Mus musculus: one gene and its partner. The protein of the gene in region 1 interacts with the protein of each later gene in a pairwise test. Links are inferred from orthologs where the notes say so. Each region holds a gene or a part of one and is shown in the gene's direction. Other genes may lie near its edges.

What was found. The genes of interacting proteins can lie anywhere in the genome.
Region 2: the proteins of Dcp1a (region 1) and Rita1 interact in binary tests that used the Homo sapiens proteins (3 or more experiments, as listed by UniProt). The two-hybrid records come from large-scale screens. The link is inferred for Mus musculus from reciprocal best matches to the Homo sapiens genes DCP1A and RITA1.

What each region holds. Positions count from the first base shown.
Region 1 is NC_000080.6:30,482,501-30,486,096, forward strand, and holds part of Dcp1a (mRNA-decapping enzyme 1A), read left to right. Parts: intron 1-1,958; coding exon 1,959-2,086; intron 2,087-2,093; exon of another isoform or gene 2,094-2,742; intron 2,743-3,596. UniProt on the Homo sapiens protein: Necessary for the degradation of mRNAs, both in normal mRNA turnover and in nonsense-mediated mRNA decay. Removes the 7-methyl guanine cap structure from mRNA molecules, yielding a 5'-phosphorylated mRNA fragment and 7m-GDP.
Region 2 is NC_000071.6:120,609,783-120,613,986, reverse strand, and holds the start of Rita1 (RBPJ-interacting and tubulin-associated protein 1), read left to right. Parts: upstream 1-1,397; 5' UTR 1,398-1,713; intron 1,714-1,912; exon of another isoform or gene 1,913-2,007; intron 2,008-2,257; 5' UTR 2,258-2,340; coding exon 2,341-2,609; intron 2,610-4,024; coding exon 4,025-4,204. Other genes in the region: ATP-dependent RNA helicase DDX54, read right to left, coding at 681-851. UniProt on the Homo sapiens protein: Tubulin-binding protein that acts as a negative regulator of Notch signaling pathway.

The sequences.
Region 1 (3,596 bases):
TGAAAACAGTATAATACAGTGGCTATAAAGTAGTTGAGACAGCACTCTCGCTGGTCTGTAGTGTCTGATAAGAATTTGCATTCTGTGCCTGGTTCTGCCCCTGTCTGCTTCTTTCCCAAAGTTCTAGGCTATTCCTAATTCATATATATTTTACTTTAAGCTTTTCTGAAAATTAATTTTTTAAACTGTTGGTCTGTAAAGGATTACAACTTTGCCTTGTTTGGCAACATAGAGGCCTAAAGGGCAACCCACGGATGAGCCAGGTCGTGAAACCCTTGTATTCCTAGATACCTAGAGCATTTGCTCTTAGAGGCAAGTCTCTTTCCTTGGGTTCTAGAACTTAGAGCGGTAGCAGCAAGGTTCCTGATACATGGTTCTTTTTGTGTAGAGTTCTTTTTTGGACAGCCTTCCTCCACTGGTGCTAATTTATAAGAATTGAGTGCTCTTCTAAATGTTAGTGTAGAGCTTTGTGCTCTATCTAAATACACTTTCCCCTTTAAATGAAAGTATTTTGATGTTTGTATGACAAGCTTCTCTTTCTTTGATACTCTGTTTTCTCTACTTTATTTTCCTTCTCTAAAATAAAAAAGGTCTAACTCTAACCTCTTCATTAGCAATATAAGTCTCTAAGAACCCCTTACTATTAGAACAGTACTGTCTGCACATTTGGGGATATTTACAGGTCTAACTTTAAAAGACTAAAACAGATCTATTAGAGGAGATGTGAAATGTGGTGTCGTAACTTCATTTAATACAATTCGTATAACTTATAGCATTGGCTCTAAGAAAAGGAGGCTTAAGAGCCTCTCTTTGGGAACTGAACATTTTCTGTACCTTGGGTAAAAGTACACTAGAATGTCATAGTATTACTTTGCAGGAATCAAAAAAGAAAACTGGATTTGGAGTTTTTAATTGGTGTGGCTTTGGGCATGGGCCTTAATTCTGCAAACTTGATTCTTAGTCGGTAGAACTGGATTGCATTTTCTCCCCCATGATACTACAGAAACAAATGAGAACTGTAAAGTGTTAGGTGAGAATCTGCAGTGCATTGTGTGGTGGACCCCCTTGGTAAGGAAACTGAAAGCATTCTTACTGTAAAGGTCAGGTCCATCTAACTCAAGAAAAACCTACAAAGACTATTTAATGTAAGAAGAGTTACTGCTGTAATGAGTGGCAGGCATAGACTTGTACCATAGTTTTAAAAACCTGGTACTGGTAGCACATGCCTTTAATCCCACACTTGGGAGACAGAGGCAGGTAGATCTCCAAGTTCAAGGCTAGCCTGGTCTACAGAGAGTGTTCCAGAACAGCCCAGGGCCACACAAAAATCCTATCTCAAGAATATTCTTCAAGCATCAGTTTATTACATGTTTATATCAATCTTGGTTTACATGTATTAAAAAAAAACAAAAAACAAAAGTCAGAAATCCTCAATTGCATGGAGTTTACATTCTGGTAGTGGAGGGAGACAGTAGTTGAGAATAGGTGGGTATCAGGGTGAGAAGGTGACGTCTGAGCAAATACTTGCTGGAGAGGAGATGCTGCTGCCAGTTTGGAGGCCACAGTTCAGACAGAGGTCTCGAGGTAGAAACAAACCTGCAGGTAGTGGCAGGGACCCCAGTGTGGCAGAAGTGTGACTCACAGGAGGTGAAGTGGGGTGGGAACCTTGGTGACTTGTCTTTTACGCTGAGGAAATAAATCTTTTTGAAGACTTAGGTGCAGAGAAGGAAATGTCTTATTTAATTGTTTTTTTAAGAGTTGAGGCGTAAACCCCAGACTTTCTCATGCTAGGCAAACATTCTGCCACTGAGCTATATCCCCAGCCTTGTATTTTTGGTTATGATTTTAGCTGCTCATCGTGTTGTATGATGCAATTAGGAATTTCTTTTTAATGAGAATAAAGGATAACATTTCCTCAGAGTGAAAGGTAACGTGTGTTCTCTTTGTTTAAATCTAAGGTCAGCTTCGCCTTACCATGGCTTTACCATTGTCAACCGACTGAACATGCACAATCTGGTTGAGCCAGTGAATAAAGATTTGGAATTTCAGCTCCATGAACCATTTCTTCTGTATAGAAATGCAAGTTGTGAGTATATCTGTTTGCATTTAACAGAGTGACTTTAATTTCAGAACATTGGGTTTCAAATTATACTAAATATGGCCTACATTATAAATGTGTGTCTTGGTAAAAGATCAAATTCTTTTTAAATGTATATGTTTATGTGTATGAGTGTTTGTGTGTATGTGTGCACAGAGACCCCAGCCCATGTGTGGAGATGAGAGGACAACTTTCAGGCATTCTATCTTTCTACCATGTGGGTTCCAGGTATGACTCGGGTTGTCAGGCTTGAGGGTGTGTCCCTTCACCAGCTGTGCCATTTCACCAGCCCCAAAAAGCAAACATTTTAAGTTAGCTCTAAAATTGAATAGGCCTTTGCACATAACTGACTTAGGTTATTTTAGTGAACTGTCCCATCTAGGCCAGTTGCTAGCATCATAGTTGTGTATGTTATGAGCTGTCATGTCATTTGTTTTGCTGTAGGGCTGAGCTGTCTGCTGCTGTCCCTGAGCAACAAAACTTAGTCTGACAGACACAGTGAGCGCAGACACTCAGCTTTCCACAGAGAAAGCCCTTCACCATGGATGGTGACACTTTCAACCCACGAGTCTAATAGTGTCCAGTAGGTACAAATTCTGTGCCAAAGCCGTTGTGCTTTCATGATAGAGAGCAACCTATGCCGGGTACGCACGTGGTTTGGGGACAAGACTCGAGGTGTATGGCATACATTTAGTTGGAGAATTCTAGGCCAAGGTCTTGTCAGGCATTTTTACAGTTTGTAATAGCTGTTGAATTTAGTCAACAAAGCTCAGAGTAGCCCTTTCCAGAAGAGTGTAGATGTTCCTCACCTCACCAGTGGCATTACTTGCTGGTAGAGCTATCATAAGTTGAAAGTTTGTTAATATACTTAAGCTATTGAATGCCAGAGCTTAGCAACACAGTATACTATAAAGTATCAGTTGTTCCTCCACCGTGATCATATGGGATTGGGAACTGTGACTCGTTGTTACTGTACAGTACTGAGGGAAGTATCCCACTGTGTTATTTCTATTCCTATCACAAGGGAAATGTACAGTCCAAACTTTTTTTTACTCAGTACATACTACTTTCATAACATTTATAAGCCAAAGGGGGGGGAAAAAACTTAAGTCAGATTATCATAAGTATGGGACCATCTGGACAAGAAAGTATAGTTGAAGATCAAGGCTTTAGCTCAGTGGTAGAACACTTAGTGTTCATGTGCTTTGGGTTGGATCTCCAGCCAACACGAACGTGGTGTACGTTGCATTCTGATAGTTAAGTATGATGTTAGAAGTGTGACTGAGGACAGGACAGTTTGCTTATTGTTGACCCAGGAGAGATACCAAAACAGAGTGGTGATTTAGAAAGCTGGATGCCTTGCCTGTCCTGGAACTCTTTGTAAACCAGGTTGACCTTGAACTCACAGAGATCTGCCTGACTGCCTCCCCAGTACTGGGACTAAAGGCATGTGCCGCCGCCACCCAGCATTTCTTGCTCATTTTTAAGTATCTACATA
Region 2 (4,204 bases), on another chromosome or scaffold:
AGCGCTCTATCAACAAAGCTACATTCAGAGCCCACAGGCTGGGTTTTGACTTGTAAAGTTTATTACGTCTTACTACAGCCAGCCTGTGCCGGACTGGGCCTCAGCAAAACCCTTGGTCTGAACCACGGGAGCAGCCTTCTTGTATTTGCCAATGAACACCAGCGTTCTCATTGCCTCTAGCTGTCTCTGCACATTTACTGACCACTTAACGAGTGCAGCTCATTGACTGAGCTGGGAAGGAGAAATGGAGAACCAGATATACCCGCTATGCACAAGACGATGGGCGTCATGAACGATAGGCTTTTGTGCCCCACTTGGTGATCACACCTATCCCCCAAGATGAATACAACTGGAACCGGACCATCCCCAGTTCCAATCCTGCTGTCCTCCCTGACATTGCTGGTGAGCCTGGCATAGCTAGAGCACGACATAAGTCCGTAAATACTAGTTTAGTTTAAAACCGGCTTCTCAGAAGAGTGGTCCGGCCTTCCCTTTAATTTTCTCATCTAAGACCGCCCCAAACTCAGGCGGACCTTCCGCACTTGCACTTTCTATTGGCTGCGTAAACTCGAGCCCGTCCCCCACGCGAAGGGACCCAATGAGGGACCGCGATTAGTGAGACGGACAAGCGGAAGGGCGCAGGCCGAGAGCCCGAACAGGGAGCCCCCTCGCGCTCTTACCTTCCTCGCCCGGGCGTCATCCTCCGCCTGGATCTCGAACTCGCCGTCATCCGAGTCGCTGTCGCGGCCTTGGGAAGCCCCAGTTCGGCGTTTCCGCAGCCTCTTCTTCTTCCACGGCGCCATGGTGGGACGCGACGGCGGGCCAGGTCCCACACGTCTGCCAGCAGCCATGCGGGCCGGGCTCTTAGACCCGGAAGAGGGCGGGGCCTAAGGGACGCGTCGACTGCGCGGGGGCGGAGCCTGTGAGACGCAAGAGCGGCGTCGAGAATCCAGGTTTCACCCGTAGGGCGGGGCCGGGCCTGAGGAAACCAACCAACTTCGCAGGGGCGGAGCGTCAACATGGCTTTATCAATGGGCGAAGCCAGAAGGAGGAACCAACAGAACGGGGGCGGGGCCTAAGTGGTGTACCAGCCGGGCAGAGGCGAGGCCTGAGGGACATACCAACTGGTGGGGGCGGAATGTGTCAACTGAACCGTGATAGATGCTTAAGGGACCTACTAACTGCGCGAATGCCAAGCTGTGAGAGATGTGGTAACTGTAAAGAGAGCAGGACCTGAGGGACATAACAACTGAACGTGTGGACAAACTCGAGGAATGTACCAACCACGCAAGGTTGACCCTACCAAGGGGCGGGGCCTAATGGATGTACAGATGAGGCTGGGGGTGTGGCCTGTGGAACGTACCATCAGCGCGAGGGCGGGGTATAGGGACGTACCAGTGCGCAGGGGTGGGGCGTCGCACCGGTTGCCCAGCAAGGGATGCGGGTGGGCGCGTGTCGCTGTGGCGCCCTTGCTGATTCTGTGCTATGAGGCTTTAAATGTGGCGGAGACAGAGCTTTCTGGCCGGAGGCTCCAGGAGAAAAAGCACCAGGCATGGAGATCCCGTGACGCCTGCGCTTTCAGCTCTGTAAGCTGGCCGGTGCGTTGCTACTCTGCTGTTGGGAGCCTGAGCTGGACTCGGGGAAAATGCATTTCGTATGAGACTGGTTGGCGAGGACTGGAACGCACCACGTTTGCAAAGCGCTTTGCACAAGGTAGGAATGGGGGGCGACAGTAGCTTGGGAGCCCCTTTCCCTCTTCCACCCTAATTAGTTTGTCTGGTTGGTGCCATTCCCCTGCACGCCCGCAGTCGTACTATATTTGTTGAGCATACACTGTAGGGTGTAATTGTGTATTTACTTATTCATTAAATATTTGCTGACGGCATTTTCTCCCGTCTTCACAACTAAAAAGACAGTGCCTGCTTTAGCCTGACCCATGCACCTCAGACGCCAGGCGATCGTGCAGTTCTCCGTGGGAAGTAGAAGCGGGAGGATCCGGAGTTAAAGGTCATTCTTGGCTATATAATAAAGTTTAATATAGTGAGTTTCAGGCCACCTTGGACTACTGAAATTGGGTGTCGGGGACGGGCAAGAAAGTGAAGCACTTCCAAGGTGTCCACTGAACAACAGTAGTCCTTTGAGAAAAACCAGTCGCTTTCCCTCAGCAAGAAAAAGCCCTTTTTGCCCTTGGGCTTGTTATTCCAAGCTGCTGCTCTTACTTGGAAAAGCTGATTGCTCATTCCGACCCCTATTACAGGGAGCCCTGGAGGCTGAGTCTGTCAGGCACACCACACCCACTGGGCAACGTGAAGACCCCGGTGGCACCGGCCCAGCAGCGGAATGAAAGCCCTCCACCTTCAGCACCGCAGTCCCACCAGCTACAGGGTCAAGGCCAGGGCATCCTATGTGGATGAGACCCTGTTTGGCAGCCCAGCAAGAACCAGACCTGCCCAACCAGACTTTGACCCACCCTGGGTGCAGAATTGTAACCGATCCAGAGGAGTGGGCCCAGGACCACCGAAGGGCTCTCTGGCCAAGAGAGACTGTGAGTCCCCCTCTTCCAGGGGCAGCACCCCAAACCTCACACCAAGGAAGAAAAACAAATACAGGTAAGGTGGGGGGTGCACTCCTGTTTTAAGGGTGGCTGTCTTGGTCCCTTTCCTGGTTGCCGTGATAAAATACTCTTGGCAGAAGGAACTTGGGCAAGAAAGGGTTTGAGTTGCTCTCCTTGGTTATAAGAAGTCACAGCAGTGTGGGGTGGAGATGGTTGGTCACATTGCATGCTCAGCACACTCTCTTGCTTTTATTCAGTCCCAGGGTATCTGACCCCCATCCCCCGCTTCTGACACCCCAGGCATGTGCAGGTAAAACACTAGTACTAAGGGGAAGGTCTATCGTAGGTATGGCAGCGGGCCAGCCTGACATAGCTGATTGCTCTCTGCCACTCTCCTTCCTGATGATCCCAGATCTTGCCAAGTTGGCAATTGAAACTGACCACCAGAGTAGCCGTCAGGTCTCCTGGAACAGCTTGTTAGGGACCTGTTGTGTGGCCATGGCCAAGCGCCTTGGTTCTTTTTTTTTTTTTTTTTTTTTTTAGATTTATTTTATGTATATGAGTACACTGTAGCTGTACAGATGGTTGTGAGCCTTCATGTGGTTGTTGGGAATTGAATTTAGGACCTGGACCTCTGCTTGCTCCAGTCTTCCCCGCTCACTTGGACCAACCCTGTTTTCTCTGGTCCGTCCCACTCTCTCAGCCCTGGTTGCTCCGGCCCAAAGATTTATTTATTATTGTACATAAGTACACTGTAACTGTCTTCAGACAGCACCAGAAGAGGGTGTCAGATCTCATTACGGGTGGTTGTGAGCCACCATGTGGTTGCTGGGATTTGAACTCAGGACCTGTGGAAGAGCAGTTGGTGCTCTTACCCACTGAGCCATCTCGCCAGCCCCATAAAAATTTATTAAAGGAGATTCTGGGGAGGAGGGGAACTATTCAAGCAAAAATAATGTATTTCTGCTGAGCTCACATAGACTTTTTTGGAAAAGTACATTTATATTTGGTTGTTTTGGGATGGGAGGGATGTGCACTGGTAAAGGCCAAAGGACAACTTGTTGGAGTCAGTTCTTTCCTTCTACTACGTGCATGCGGAGGATCAAACTCAGGCTGCAGGCCGCCAGTCTTGGCCACAAGCACCCTTACCCACTGAGCCTTTTTGCTGTCCCTAAGCGACAGTGTCTGCTACTTCTGTTTATGTGGCACTTAATGGGCCTAATCACTCCCATTAATCTGGAGCTGAGCAGATTCAGGAAGGGGTCTGTCATCTGTCCTTTTGTCTCCAGGAGAAGAGAGCGGGAAGCCCTGAGCTGCTTTGGACCTATACCTGTCATTGTATTAAAGAATGTCAGGCTTATTTGTGGGTACCAGGCAGGCTCTGCTGCCTTACTTTATCGTGGGAAGTGAGGTTGCAGAGGGCTTTAGGATCATCGCCACCACCGGTCACAGTGCCCTTCCCTTTTTCAGGCTGATTGGCCATGCCCCATCCTACTGCGATGAGTCACTGTTTGGCACTAGCAAGGAGGGGTCTCGGATGGCCGTGGGGGATGCTGCAAAGCTCCGGACCCTTTTCTGGACCCCACCAGCCACCCCTAGGGGCAGCCACACACCTTGCCCCAGGGAGACCCCTCTGCGAGCCATTCACCC